Linked DNA regions of Elephas maximus indicus. The protein of the gene in region 1 interacts with the protein of each later gene in a pairwise test. Links are inferred from orthologs where the notes say so. Each region holds a gene or a part of one and is shown in the gene's direction. Other genes may lie near its edges.

What was found. The genes of interacting proteins can lie anywhere in the genome.
Region 2: the proteins of MTUS2 (region 1) and USP2 interact in binary tests that used the Homo sapiens proteins (3 or more experiments, as listed by UniProt). The two-hybrid records come from large-scale screens. The link is inferred for Elephas maximus indicus from reciprocal best matches to the Homo sapiens genes MTUS2 and USP2.

Annotation. Positions count from the first base shown.
Region 1 is NC_064841.1:61,236,445-61,244,023, forward strand, and holds the start of MTUS2 (microtubule-associated tumor suppressor candidate 2), read left to right. Parts: upstream 1-4,579; 5' UTR 4,580-4,820; intron 4,821-4,893; exon of another isoform or gene 4,894-5,162; intron 5,163-7,579. UniProt on the Homo sapiens protein: Binds microtubules. Together with MAPRE1 may target the microtubule depolymerase KIF2C to the plus-end of microtubules. May regulate the dynamics of microtubules at their growing distal tip.
Region 2 is NC_064835.1:11,873,614-11,881,623, reverse strand, and holds the start of USP2 (ubiquitin carboxyl-terminal hydrolase 2), read left to right. Parts: upstream 1-5,006; 5' UTR 5,007-8,010. Other genes in the region: THY1 (thy-1 membrane glycoprotein), read left to right, coding at 1,750-1,786, 2,458-2,793, 3,308-3,420. UniProt on the Homo sapiens protein: Hydrolase that deubiquitinates polyubiquitinated target proteins such as MDM2, MDM4 and CCND1. Isoform 1 and isoform 4 possess both ubiquitin-specific peptidase and isopeptidase activities.

The DNA of each region.
Region 1 (7,579 bases):
TATGACAGCTGGGGGCTGTCAGTGAATTATGCTCAAAGGTTTGAGTGGCATCTCTTCACGGCCACCATGGCAAAAAGTATATCCACATTTTAGATAGAGCTATTGGGCCATAGAATCCCTCAATATTGCAATCGAGGCTTGAATTTTTTCTTCAGTTCTTTCAGCTTGAGAAATGCCGAATACGTTCTTCCCTTTCAGAGTTTTAACTCCAGGTCTTTGCACATTTCATTATAATACTTTGTCTTCTTGCGCTGCCCTTTGAAATCTTCAGCTCAGCTCTTTTACTTTGGCATTTCTTCTATCCACTTTAGTTACTCTACATTCATGAGCAAGTTTCAGAGTCTCTTCTGACATCCATTTTGGTCTTTTTTTTCTTTCCTGCCTTTTTAATGACCTTTGCTTTCTTCATGTATGATGTCTTTGATGTCATCTGACAACTTGCCTGGTCTTCAGTCATTAGTGCTCAGTGCATCAAATTTATTCCTGAGATGATCTCTAAAGGGAAAATTCAAGCTTTGAGTTGCAATATTGAAGGACTCTATGGGCAAAAAATTGAATGATTCAGGAAGCATCAAAGGAAGATTGAAGGAATACAGAGCCACTTACCAAAAAAAAGTGGTCAACAGCCAACCATTTCAGGAGACAGGATATGATCAAGAACCAATGGTACTACAAGAAGAAGTCCAAGCTTCACCGAAGGCATTGGCAAAAAACAAGGCTGCAGGGATTGACAGAATACCAAATGAAATGTGTCAACAAATGGATGCAATGCTGGAAGTGCCCACTCATCTATGCCAAGAAATCTGAAAGACAGCTACCTGGCCAACTGACTAGAAGTGATCCATATTTGTCCTCACTCCAAAGAAAGGTGATTCAGTGGAATGTGGAAGTTATCAGACAATATCATTAGTATCACACGCAAGTAAAATTTTGCTGAAGATCATTCAAAAATGGCTGCAGCAGCACATTGACAGGGAACTGCCAGAAATTCAAACTGGATTAGAAGAGGACATGGAATGAGGGATACCATTGCTGATGTCAGGTGGATCTTAGCTGAAAGCAGAGAATACCAGAAAGATGTTTACCTGTGTTACATTGACTGTGCATTGACAGTGTGGATCACAATAAATGATAGATAACATTGGGAAGAATGGAAGTTCTAGAACAGTTAATTGTGTTCATGTGGAACCTGTACATAGACTAAGAGGCAGTTGTTCAAACAGAACAAGGGAATACTGCATGGTTTAAAATCAGGAAAGGTGTGGGTCAGGGTTGTAGCCTTTCATCATATTTATTCTATCAGTATGTTGAGCAAATAATCTGAGTAGCTGGACTATATGAAGAAAAACGTGGCATCAGAATTGAAGGAAGACTCATTAACAACCCGTGATTTGCAGATGACACAACCTTGCTTGCTGAAAGTGAAGGGTACTTACTGATGAAGGTCAAAGACTATAGCCTTCAGTAGCTACTACATCTTAACATGAAGGAAACAAAAATCCTCACAACTGGACCAATAAGCAACATCATGATAAAAGGAGAAAATATTGATGTTGTCAAGCATTTCGTTTTACTTGGATCCACAATGAACACCCATGGAAGCAGGCGTCAAGAAATCAAACGATATATTGCATTGAGCAAATCTGCCGCAAAAGACCTCTTTAAAATCTTAAAAAGCAAAGATGTCATTTTGATGACTAAGGTGTGCCTGACCCAAGCCATGGTTTTTTTCATTCACCTCATATGCCTGCAAAAGCTGGACAATGAATGAGAAAGACCAAAGAAGATGCATTTAAATTATTGTTTTGGCAAAGAACGTTGAAAATACTGTGGACTTCCAGAATAACTAACAAATCTGTCTTGGAGGAAGTACAGTCAGAATGCTCTTTAGAAGCAAGGATGGCAAAGCTTTGTCTCATTTACTTTGCTCATGTTATCAGGAGGGGTAATCTCTGGAGAAGGACATCATGTTCTGTAAAGCAGAGAGCCAGTGAAAAAGAGGAAGACCCTCAACTAGTTGGACAGTCAGAGTGGCTGTAACAATGGGCTCAAGCACAGCAACGATTGAGGGGATAGCGTAGGATGGGGCAATGTTTTGTTCTGCTATGCGTAAGGTTGCTAGGAGTAGGAATCAACTAGATGGCACCTAAGAACAACAAATTGGTGCCTCTTTTTTTTTTTTTCTCACAGTTATGGGGTTTATTAAGGAAGTAAGAGGTTGCAATTCAGGTTCAGAAACACTCTATGATACTGTTCTCCCATCAGGACAGCCTCTTCCCAGCCATGCTCACAGGCACACCTCTCCCTGGCCCTCATGCTCTGCCCAAAGGCACTCAGCTTTCACTCTCCATGGGCTAAGAAGCCCACTGTGCTGTCTCCCGTGAGTCTCTCCTTTCTTGGTGGTGGTGAGTTCTTCTGTCCTGCCTCTGGGATGGCTCATTTCAAACCCAGCAGAATGGCAAAACTGGCCAACCCCTTTGGTGGGCCACAGTTACCCTATCACACAGTCCTGACCAATCGCTTGGGTGGAAGTTGCAAGGTCATGTGAGAAAGTCCACTCATTGTCGGAACTGAATTGATGGCATCTAACAAAAACAATTTCTTGTGAACTTACATGACAGGACTGATTCTTAGATATATGAATTCATTTAATCTTCACAATAACTTCATAAGAGAAACATTAATACAACAAATGGGCACCTCTTTATTGGAGTTGCTAAGGGTTCTGCCATCTTCAGTCGAAACTGAAAGAAAAGAGAGTGATCAAGGGGGAAAGTTGGTTCTGAGAATTTCCTTGGAATGAGCCTAGGGTGTTGTGATGCAACTTAGGGAGTATCTACCCACTTCATGCAAAAAAAGGGTGTGCTTCTGGAGAGCTACCTGGACCATGGAGAAAATGTATCACCTGCAGCTTGGGACATTTGTGAACCCAGAGATGGGAGTCTGACTCCGGCATGAAAAGCTTCAAGGAGAGAGGCTGGTCAGAGCTGCCTGTGGCCAAAGCCTGAGCAGAGTGTGCCTCAGGGACACTGGCCTGCAGTATTAGTGTGATGAGCAACAATGCCAAGTACTTTCCATGGGACAGAGTGGACACGGTGGAAGGTAGCTGGATCTGAACCATCTCAAAAGGACTGCACTCGAGAGGCTTGCCTGCCAGGGCACGGCAACACCCACCGAGGGTCTATGTGAGGTGGACCACCTGAAGGAGATGCTGAAGTGAAAGCTGCAAGTGATCAGCACCACGGCCTGATTCAGTGGGAGCTTCCCTCACCCCTGCCATCCTGGAGGATTCAGTCTTAACCCAGTCAGTGGGGAGGAGGCAGAACAAGGAAGGGAAAGACAGGCTTCTTTCCCCTTCCCCACTACAGGCGTCTGAGCTTGGGTCAGGCTGGGAGCTGGTGGGCATGGGAGGGGAATAAAGAAGGGGCAAATTGAATGAAATTAAAGTTTTGATTTGGATTTGGATTGGACTGGACTTTTTAATACCAGAGTTTTATTAACACCTGAAAGTGATAGGAAAAGCTATGAAATCTGCCCTAGATTCTTCCAGAAGAGAAGGAAGATCTGATAGAATACATTGTAAAACACAGTGCTGTGGGAGAGAAAAAAAAAGGTGCTATTTCACGTTGTCCTTTCACTAAGATCAGCTTGTTAAAAAATATAACTGATATAAAGTATTGCTTAATACCCACCAGGTTCACTGCTTAAGGAGCCCTGGGTAAGCGCTGGGCTGCTAACTTAAAAGTTGACAGCTCCAGCTCCGTGGAGAAAAGACCTGCCAACTTGGTCCCATAAAGATTACAGCCTAGGAAACCTAGGGGGCAGTTCTAACCTGTCGCATGGGGTCACTATGAGTCAGAATCGCCGTGAGAGCAACGGGTTTGGTTTTGGTCTAGGTGCACTGTTTAGGGGAAGCAAGAGCATTTCAGGTAGGGCCAGAAGACCCTGCAAGAAGTCATTAATGAAGCCATTTATTCCTGAGAACTGTCAAAAATCGCTGGAGCTCCTTGAAGAGTGTTAGGCACATTTGGTGCTTATTAGACACAGAAATAAACCTGATTCTAGAAAGAAAAGCCCGCCTTTTCCTCCAACAGTTTGTCGGAGACCGCATCTGGGCTCCTTGTTGTGAATGAGGGATCCCCCCGCCCTCCAAGCTCTTCCCAACGCTTTGCCTAAATTCCTCTTGCTTCACCCAATTCCAACCTGTTCGGTCTTCGTCCTAAGAGGAAAACAGCAGATCGCCCTCCTCGAAGCCCTCTGCCTTGCCACCCCTCTCCTCAGCCTTGCTTCTCCTTTCTCTCCCCTGGGGCCGCCTAGCCGCTAGGGGACCGCGGTGGCGCGGCTGGGTGGCTCCAGGAGCCGCCGGACGGTGCGGACGCGAGCGGAGCTGCGGGCGGAGGCTCCGAGGGGCCGGCAGAGGGCGCTGTGGCTCGCGCTGGGCGGCCTGGGTGCGCGGGGCGCGGGCAGGGAGGGGCGCGCCGGGCGGCTGGCGGCGCCGGGCCTCGGCGTGCGCGTCTCGGGCCGGCCAGGAGGGGGTGCGCGCCTCTGCTGCCCGCGCCGCCCGCCCTCCCTTCCGCAGCCGGCGGGCTGTCACCGAGGGCCGCACCGCGCGAGCGAGAGTTGCCGGCTGCGCGGCGCGCTCCGAGGCTCGGGCTCCGCCGCCGGCCCCGCGGCTCCTCTTTGTCCGGGGAGGCGGCCGAAGCGCGGTGGCTGCGACGGCCGAACCGGGCGCGCCCGGCGTCCTGCCCTGGTCCCCTGGTTATCCCCCGGCTCCCCTGCGCTGGGGCGGGGGCGGCGGCCTGGGCGGTGCCCGCGCAGAGGTGAGTGCGGGGGCGCAGCGGGGCGCTGGGTTCCCAGGCGCTCCCGGCGCTGCGTGCGCCGCGGCGGGCGTGGGTGGTGCGGGCGGCAGTTGTCAGGGGCTGTCTCCAGCTGGGGTGGCGTCCCTGGTTTCTCCACCTGCGCCCCCTCTCCTGGTTCCCTGGCAAGTTTGTCCACCCCCTTTGGCTGCAATCCGTGGCCGGTCCGCAGAGTCCATCCTCTCCGTAAATAGCAAACTGGAGCCGGGGAGGAGGAGGACGCGCGTCGGAGCCGGGTCGCCAGGAGAGGCTAGTTAAGGGCAGGAGTGGCCCCTCGGACATCTTTCTTGGCTCTTTCGGATCCAGGTGAGCACATTCTGTTCTGCGGTCTGCAGGGGTCGGTCTTGGCTCCGGTGCCTGCCTTCAGGGGACAGTGCTGAGACTGGGACAGAATTGGGAATGGTCGCAGCCGGTGCTCCGGAAAGCGCAGCGTTTTTTTCGGCTGTTCTGTCGTCATAGCAGTTATTCTTTCCTGCCCACATCACCTGCGTGGGCTGAAGTGTTGCAGCTCATTTGGCACCTTCGGGAGCTGCCGGGTTAGACTATCCCGTTTTAGAGGGGATGGTAGGTTAAACCGAGTGAAATCAGGTGTCCCCCACCCTCCTCCAGCTTTGGATAATTCGGTCTGTGTCTTCGTCTTAATTTAGTATGAATGTGTTACTTCCTTCGAGCTTTATAATGGTACGCAGTGAAGCGGTTTGCTACATCCATTTTTCATTCTGAGCCTGTGCACAGAGGAATTTCAGGCACACAAGTGATGTTACTACCATTCTATTTTAAATACAAACACGGGAAGAAGTACTCTTGGCAGGGTCCCAAAGGCGCCTGTACTCTCTGTTATATAAGTGCTTTAAAAAAATATTTGCTCTTTGGTTCAGTTATGAAAAGTGATTACCAGAGGATCTAAGAAGAGGGAGCGAAGATGTCAGAACCGTCATTTCGGCTTTAAACCAAAACTTTGCTTGAAGACAAACGTGGACCCAGCTCGAGCCACCCTTTTAAGATAGTAGGAAGCCCTTTTTTCTATAACATTAGGTAGAGACAGAGTTGCAAAGCATTAAACAATAAAGTAGGTTTTGTAAAGACTACTGCAAAACTTGATGAGAATCTTTGACTACTTATTGATGTTGCTGTGGGTGCTCTGGGGTCCGTTTGGACTCATAGCGACCCCATGTGGCAGAGTAGAACTGCCCCATAGGGTTTTCTTGGCTGTTGCCTTTATGGAAGCAGATTATTTGCTAGTAATGAAAAAAAAATTCTACAGATATCGTTTATGGGTTTCAAATTATCGAATGATTTCATTTTGACGTGGTTGTGTGCCGTTGAGTCGATTCCGACTCATAGCAAGCCCATGTGACAGAGTAGAACTGTCCCATAGGTTTCCTAGTGGTTATCTTTATAGAAACAAATTACCAGGTCTTTCTCCTGCAGAGATGCTGGCTGGTGGCTTCAAACTGCTGACCCTTTTGGTTAGCAGGCGAGTGCTTAACCGCTTTGCCACCAGGGTTCCTTTTATTTTAATATCTGATGAAAGCATAGTAATTGGGAGTTGCCAGTTATTCAAGACCTGCCCCCTCCCCCAATAAAACCTCTCTGCTCACATTTATGGTTGTTTTTTCAGGTAAAAAGAAGCCAAAAGTAGAAACTGTCAGATATACCAATATCTAGGTGCCTCCTCCCCAGGCCCTGCCATCCCCCGCCCCCATATCGTTTTACCTGGTTTGGGGTAGTGCTTTGGCATCTGCAATGTCAAAAGCTCCCATGGGGATTCTACCATGCATCCAGGGTTGAGACCCATTGGATAGCATTGTTGTTGTTGTTGGGTGCTGTCAAGTTTATTTTCGCTCACGGTGACCCAATGTGACAGAGCAGAACTGCCCCATAGGATTTTCTAGGCTGTGATCTTTACAAAAGCAGATGGCCAGGTCTTTTCTCCCGCAGAACTACTGGGTGAGTTAGAACCACCAACCTCTCCGTTAGTAACCCAGCACTTAACCGTTGCACCACCAGGGCTCTTGTTTTGGAAAACATTATTTCTTTTCATTTGTCAGTTTGTAGCCCAAGGTGTGGCTGGTAAAAGCCCAAGGTATGGTTTAAGTAAACAGTTGTTGTTAGGTGCAGTCCAGTCGATTTTGACTCCCAGCGACCCCATGTGACAGAGTAGAGCTGCCCTATAGGGTTTTCTAGGCTGTGATCTTTGTAGGAGCAGATTGCCAGGTCTTTCTGCCGTGGAGCTGCTGGGTGGGTTCAAACAGTAACTTTGTGGTTAGCAGCCGAGTGCTTAACCGTTGCGTCACCCGGGCTCAGAAATATGGGAAGAGAAAAATGGTATTGGAAAGGTGGTACGCTGAAGAATTTTACGGCATGTATACTTTCATATAAATAATGTTTCTTTTTTTTATACTTTCGTATAAACAATGTTTCTTGTTTTTTATTTTTTAACACTGCACAGAGTAATTTATCAGGGACTTGTAATTCCGTGTAGAACACTTGCCAGAGTCGTAAGCGACACGTTTCATTGTGCACAGCTCACAGCAGTGAAAGCTGAGTACTCAAAAAAAAAAAACCACACTCTTGGCCGTCGAGTCGATTCTGACTCGTGGCGACCCAGTAGTACTCTTTTATGTTTACATGATCAGAGCATCAGGTCTTATGAAAGATAATTTTTCTATTAAATTAAAAACTCGTTACGTTAGTATAGACTAGGAAATGAAGTACATAAC
Region 2 (8,010 bases), on another chromosome or scaffold:
TCTGCCCCGCGACCCCGCGGCAGGTGGGGTGCGGGGCACCGAGGAAAGGGAAACCGCAGTGCCGCGGGCGGGGGCTGGCAGGAAGGCGGGCAGACGGGGGAGGGGAGAGCTGGAAAAGGACGGGGAGGGGTATACCGGTTGCAGTCGAGTCGATTCGGACTCTTAGCGACCCTATGGGGCAGAGTAGAACTGCTCCATAGGGTTTCCAAGGCTGTAAATCTCTACCGAAACAGACTGCCACGTCGTTCTCCCACGGAACGGCTAATGGCTTGCAACTGCCGATCTTTCGGTTAGCAGCCAAGCGCTTAACTACTGCGCCACCAGGGCTTCTTGAGAGGGGGTAGTGGGGCTTCAATTGGAATATAAGTGGAATCCGGGTGGGGCTAGTCGAGCGGGTGCTGGAGAGGGAGGGAGCGCAGAGCCTCTCTGGTCTGCGTGATGGAGACACACGGCAGAGGAAATGAACCCAGACAGCGCCCGTCAACCGCTCTCCCCACTCCCTTTGGCACCACAATCCCCTCCAATCCCATTTCTTCCCTTTTATTGCTCTGGCCTCCGCTCCCACTTCCCCTCCTAAATCCCGAGCCCGCACCCTCCTCAGTGACTCAGTGTCCGAGAATCAAAGCCAGATGCTGACCCCCTTTCCGAAAGCGCTTCTGGATCTGCTAGCGGCAGCAGCTCCGCTGATGGGACGGAGAGGGTTTTGATGGTAGCCGCAGCTGTCGCGGGACCTTAGCCTTGGGCACCGCAGGCCTGAGGGCCCCGGGCCCTGGTCTTGGCAAGGGCGCAACGTGCACACCCGGGCGCAAGCACCAGGCCAGGGCCTTGCGTGTACTCGCAGGCGCACACCCCTCCTGCGGCCTCTGCCCTGCGAGCAGCAATGCGGACGGCTAGGTTATTGCTCTGTGTCACCTCGCTGGGATGTTGGTATAACCTAGGCTGCAAAAACGACAAGACAGAGCGCCTAGGCAGGGAGGCCACTGAAGAGAGGCTGGAAAACTGCAGCCCCAGGAATCCCAGAAAGCTGAGTATTTGGAAGCATCCTTGGTTCATATGCAGTCCAAGAGCACTCTCACTTCCCTCACACACACCCAGGAACACCTCCAGCTCTGTGCCAAGTGCAGGATTATCTGGGAGCACCTAAACCCACGCATACCTGGCATCATCCCTAGCCATGTTGTCTTCTAGAAGGAAGGAAATTAACCTTGGTGGGGCCACTTACCTTGGAGCAGGTATAGTTCCAGATGTTTCTCGTCTTTCTTAATCCCGATCATAACCCTTTGAGTACCTAAGGCTCAGAGCCATTCATTCATTATCTTTTGAGCACCTACTATATGCCAGGAACTGTTCTGGGCATTGGGGATTTTTTTTTTTTTTTCTGAACAAGAACTAAGAAGTCCCTGCCCTCATAGGTAGGACATTTCTGAAGGGGGTTGGGGGTTGTAAAGATAAAGTTTCTTATTCTAAATCACCCAGCTAGTAGGGGCTCATGGCCAGGTATAGACACAGGCCCTTATAGGAGGTATTCTCCCTCTCCACCTCCCCCATCTGCCTGCCGTTTCCCCACAATCCGGTGACAGTGTCACATTCAACGAGGGATGTAGAGGGGGCTTGGATGCCCCACCCATGGACATTATGGCATATCCCCCAGGGGCCCCAGGCTTGGCAGTAAATGTGGGACACTTGCCCCATCTCTTGCTGATTCCCGTCCTGTCCCCACCCCAGATCCAGGGCTGAGCTCCAGGCACCATGAACCCCGCCATCTGCATCGCTCTCCTGCTGACAGGTACTGTGTAAGGCTAAGGCTGGGAGTCCAGCCACACTGGCTTGCTCCTCCTCAGAGAAGCTAGCTTCTTCCTTACAGACAGTGGAGGGGATTGAGGTATAGAGGGCTCTTTTTCGTCCTTAAGTCAGCAATTTCCCCAAACCTAGCTGATCTGAGTGCCTTGGGTGGTTTTTGGAAACACAACTCCCTCAGGCCCACCCCAGCCACTGGATTAAAAAATATATACATATTGCCCACGAGTCTATTCCAACTCATAGCAACCCTAGAGAACATAGTAGAACTGCCCCGCAAGGTTTCCAAGGAGCAGCTGGTGGATTCCAACTGCCGACCTTTTGGTTAGCAGCCTGAGCTCTAAACCACAGCACTACCAGGGCTCCTGCCATTGAATTAGAATCTCCAAATGGGATCCAGGAACCTGGATCTACTCCCAAGACTTCCTGCCCTTGGAACATGCTAGTGGGACCCAGGACTCAAGCAGGCTAGGGAGCGAGGCTAGGGTCTTCAGTGGGGAAGTTGGACTGACCCTTGGGGACCCCTGGGGTGGGAGAAGGGCTCAGAGAGCAGACCCCTGTGACCCCCCTGACTAGGCCCCATCTCTGCTCTTAATGTGGTTAGGAGACCCCCTGCTCCACAGGCTCTTCCTAACTCGGAGGGGGCACTGCTGGTGCCAGTCTTTCAGGTGGCCTGGGGGCAGAAGGTGACAAGCCTGACAGCCTGCCTGGTGAACCAGAGCCTGCGCCTGGACTGCCGCCATGAGAACACCACCACCTTGCCCATCCTGTATGAGTTCAGCGTGACCCGCGAGACCAAGAAACACGTGATCGAAGGCACTTTGGGAGTGCCTGAGCACTCATATCGCACCCGGACCAACCTCACTAGCAAGTATGACATTAAGGTCCTCTACTTAAATGGCTTCACCAACAAGGATGAGGGCACCTATACATGTGAGCTCCGCCTCTCTGGCCAGCCTCTCAGCATCTCCAACAAGAACATCTCAGTCTTCAGAGGTATGGCAAGTACCCAGCAAAACCCACTGAGCTGGAGGAGACAGGCTAGGGAGGGGCAGACTGGTGAGGGCAGCAGGCAGTCCTGGCTGGACTAGAGGGAGAGGGGTCCCACTCCCCTGACGTCCTCCAACTGCTGCCTGGTCCCCTGGGGAACCACTGCCTTCAGCGTGAATGGGGGTCTGAGGAGCTAAGGTGCCAGTCAGAGAGACAGAGTGGTGTTGTAGACACTTCCATCATGACTCTAGGAAAGTCACTTAGCCTCCCCAATCCCCTTCCTCCCCTTCAGGGAAATAGGGACCATAATACCTACTTCCCCACAGTCTTCTTGTGACCATGTCTAGGAAGGATTTATAAGTTGATGTGTGTTCGAAGGAAGGATGATTGGTCCTGTTGATACTTGGTCCCATGATCATCTTGATACCAAGGCAATGCACCTTACTTTGTGCCTGTCCCTACCTAAATGCTGGTCTCTCTTCTTTCCTGTCCTGTCTCCTACCCAATTCTCTCTCCACAGACAAACTGGTCAAGTGTGAGGGCATAAGCCTGCTGGTCCAGAATACTTCATGGCTGCTGCTGCTCCTGCTCTCCCTGCCTCTCCTCCAGGCCATGGATTTCATCTCCCTGTGACGGGTTGTGCCCACAGAGGATACAGGAAGCCACAAGACCTGGTCCAGAGACCCAAGTTCTCTGAGTCGGCTGACCCCCTCCTCCCAGTCCCTCACACACCTCGGGGAGGAATAGGGACCCCACCTCTCATAAGGAACCCCAGTGCTGCATGCCATTATTTACCCACTCCCACTGCCACCCGACCCCCACAGCCCCTCACACCCTCTCTGCACACCACTGGCTGTCTTTTGTACTCTTTGTTCCAGAGCTGCTTCTGTCTGGTTTATTTAGAGTTTATCCTTCCTTTTCTTCTGGAGTTCGTGAAAAGGGAAGCCAGGGTTGGGGAACTAATGGAGAGTGAGAGGATGGGGCAGGGGGGATAGAAAAATAACCAATCCCTGGGGGACCATCCTTGCCCAGTGGGGACCAGAGGCCGTGGAGAGACCTGGGTGAGGAGGGGATGGGGTGTCTGGGGCTGGTACCCGTGTGGTCTATGCTGAGACCATCCCTCAGCAGGCAGGGATGGCACCTGAAGATCCCAGAGGTAAGGACCCCCCCAAGCATTTGTGGCCATCACGTGAGAGAACAGAGCATCTTCCAAAGCATCCTCAACCAAAGCAAAAAAAAAAAAATCCCCTCTTTAAGACCCCGTAGAAATCCCCCAGAGGCCTGGGGCCAGGGGCATAGTTCAGTTAGAAAGCAGATCGCGATGGGAGCAATGCTGATGAGGGGCTGGCTGAAGGGGTAAGAGGCGAGGGCATGTCATCCCTCCCTACCTAAGGAAGCCAGAAATGTGAGCCTACTGTCCTGACCAGCAGTAGAGAAGGTGGCAGAGGAAAACAAGCCCCTCCCTAAGAGCATCCAGAACTCTGACCTGGACCCAAGGAGTCGGGCTGGCTGGAGTCCCAGAGCCCCCCAGAGTCTGGCCCAAGTGTTTCTTCAGGAGGTTCTTTTCTCCCTCCCTCATCAGTGCCAGCCCCTGCTAGCTGGTGCCTGAGCCCCTCAGACAGCCCCCTGCCCCACAGGCCTGGCTTTTCAGGGACCTCTGGGGGCCAGAGGCAGGCCATGGAGTGAGACCCATGGGTGGGACACGCCTTGGGAGGTGAGGTGGCTTTTCCTAACCCCCAGCTCCCCACCAGCAGCCCTGTCCTGTCCTGTGACTGTGTGTAGTGCCACCACAGCTTATGGCATCTCATTGAGGAAAAAGAAAACTGCACAATAAAATCAAGCCTCTGGAATCGACCTCGTGTCCCATCTCTGCTTTGCTCCTCCATCAGCCTAGGCCCGCCTCCCTTTCCTCAGCCAGTGTCTCCATGGGCAGGAGGTCCCACTTGCCACCTTGAAAGTTGGGGAATACTCCCTCTTCCCTGCCTTCCATCAGTTCTTCCTCTCGCCTTGCCTTCTTTCCAACTTCTAGCAGCACCTCAGCCCCCACCTCCACCTCCACCCAGGACCTATGGCTGCATGCTGGGCTTCTTTTCAGGAGAACTAACATTTAATGTTTGCTCAAATAAATGAATGTTCCATCTCTGCTGACTCACCTGGCTAGAACCACAAACTCACCTGCCAATGTATGGGCTGAGCCACATGACACTGACACGAATATGCAAGTGGCTTTGTGCTAACAAGCATTGAGCTGTGTAGGCAGTGTTCTCTTCTCAGACCTGGTTTTCCTTTGGAAATGTCCTCTCAACGTACTTCTTCTTAGAGGGCAAGTACCAGGAGCGTGGAGAGGAAGCATAGGGGGAGGGTGGGGCAGGAAAGGGCATCCATGTCTCCAAGGTCTAAGGGTGAGCATCTCCTTAAATCCAAAAGCAATGGCCAAAGAAAGGACTGAGGACCACCATTCCCTTGGGGGAGGGAGGGAGCGCTAACCCCATCCCTGACCCCCTCCTCTAAAAGTAATGAGTAAAATGTGGATAAGCATTGAAGTCACCCTGGGACTGGGGACTAGAACCGGGCCACAGGGTGGCTCTGAGTTCGAGGTCCTCGTAGGAGTCAGTGAGACAGCCTTCCTGCTTTGCCAGGGACTTTGGAGGGGGAGGGTGGCAACTGCCCAGAGACTGACTCATTTGGTATTTAACACTGGATAGGATGATTCTTTCTGAGCATTTTGCTTAAAGGCCTCAGATCTAAATTTGTGCCACTGGCTCCCACTCTTCTTGCCACCTCCCGTCTATGCCTCTGCCTAGTCAGTGGTCCTATAGTGACCCTGCCCAAAGAACCTGCCCAAAGAGGAAAGGAAAATCCCGTGGTGGAGGAGAACACACTGCCGGTGTGAAAGACTGTCCCTGAGTGAGGTGCCAGTCATTAAGCAGGTGCAATGACTGACACAAGACCCCTCTTATCTGCAATGCTTGGAGCTCGGACTACTCTGGCGAGGAAAGGGGTTTTTTGTTTTTTTAAGTACTTTATTTTATCTTTGTTGTTGAGATCATACACATCAAAAACATACACCAATTCAAGTAATTTTGACATGTTTCATTGACATTGATTACATTCTTCAAGTTGTGCAGCTATTCTCACCTCCTTTTCTGTGTTGTTCCCCCCATTAACGTACTGTCATTGCTCCCCAAGATTCCCATTTAATTTTTCAAGTTACTGTTGTCAATTTGATCCCGTGTACATAGATTTTTTTTTTTTTACATAGATCTTAAAAGAGCATAATGCTCAAGGCAGACATTCTTTACTAGTCAAGCTAAACGATTGTTTGGTTTTAAGACATCAGGGGCTATTTTCCACCTTTTGTTTTGTTTTGTTTCCACTTTTTGGCTATTGTGAACAGTGCTGCAATGAACATTGTTGTAGAGTCTCTGCTTTAAAATCTTTCGGGTATATAGCTAAGAGTGGAATTGCTGGGTCATACGGTAGTTTGGAAACTCTGGTGGCATAGTGGTTAAGAGCTACAGCTGCTAACCAAAAGGTCGGCAGTTCAAATCCATCAGCTGCTCCTTGGAAACCCTCTGGGGCAGTTCTACTCTGTCCCATAGGGTTGACTACGAATCGAATCTACTCGATGGCAACAGGTTTGGTTCGTTTTACGGTTGTTCCAGTTTTAGTTTTTTGAGAAGCCGTCTGTTTTCTACAGTGGCTATATCATTTTGCATTCCCACTAGCAATGATTCCAATCTCCCACATCCTCACCAACATTTATTATTTTATGTTTTTTATTTTTATCTTAGCCACCCTAGTGGAAGTGAAATGGTACTTCACTGTGGTTTTAATTTGCGTCTGTCTGATGGCTAATGACGTTGAGCATCTTTTCATGTGTTTGGTGGCCATTTGCTGAGATGTCTATTCAACTCCTTTGCCCACTTTGCCCTTTGCCCATTTTATGATTGAGTTGTGTTTTTGTTGTTGTCGAAGTTTTATGTATTTTTTGGTTATTAGGTTCTTGTTGGTATATGGTTTCCAAAAATATTCTCCCAGTTGGTAGCTTATCTTTTCACTTTTTTAGTAAAGCCTTTTGCTGAACAAAAGTTTTTAATTTTTGAGGTCCCATTTATTTATTTTGTCTTTTGCTTTTGTTACTGTATCAGAAAATCCATTGTTAAAAGCTAGGCCTGACAGCATTGCCCCTGCTTTTTTTCCTAAGGATTTTAAGGTTTCACTTTGCATATTTAGGTCCTTAATCCATTTTGAATTTTTGTGTACAGCGTGAGGCATGGTTCTTGTTTCTTTTTTCTGCGTGTGGAAACCCAGTTTTCCCAGCACCATTTATTGAAGAGACTCTACTTTCCCCGTTGAAAGGACTTAGCACCCTTGTCAAAAATCAGTTGACCATAGATGTGTGGGTTTATTTCTGAACTCTCAATTCTATTGCATTGGTCTATGTGTCTGTGTGCTCTGGCTAAGACTTCTAATACAATATTGAATAGAAATGATGAGAGCAGGCACCTTGTTTTGTTCCTGATTCCAAGGATAAAACTCTCAGTCCTTTTCCATTAAGTATGATGTTGTCCCTTGGAATTCATATATGCCCTGAATCATATTGAGGAATTTCCCTTCTATTTGAATCTTCTTGAGGGTTTTCATCAAGAATACCCATTGGATTTTATCAAATGCCTTTTCTGCATTCATAGAGATGATTATGTGTCTCTTTTGTTCTACTGCTGTGGTGTATTACGTTGATTGATTTTCTAATTGTAAAAAGGGCTTGTGGAAGTCAGAGGTCCTCTAACTTCATGAGCGGGGAGGAGAATCATTATCAGGCTCAACAGCCCAAGGTTGATTAATATGAGATGGAAGTCAAACATGCCTCCACTCTCCAAACTTCTACCAATTCTGACATTAGCCATCCCTCCCACAGAACTCTCTACTTCTTTGCTGGGTTCAATAATTTGTTGCAATGGCACACAGAACTCACAGATAACAATTGTTTATGGTGTTTATTAGGGTAGTAACAGGTTACCACTTGGAATCAGGATCAACAGGTTACAACTCAGGATCAAGAACAGAGAGCACGTAGGCAAATTCTCCCTTCTTCAGGGCAAGACAGTTCTCTCAGTTACTCTCAGCCATGCCGGGCTCATCTCAGCCCCCTGAAGGCAAGCTTTTCTTGGCCCCCTCAGGATAGGCTTTCTCTTTTGGCGCTCAGACCTCAGGCCCTTG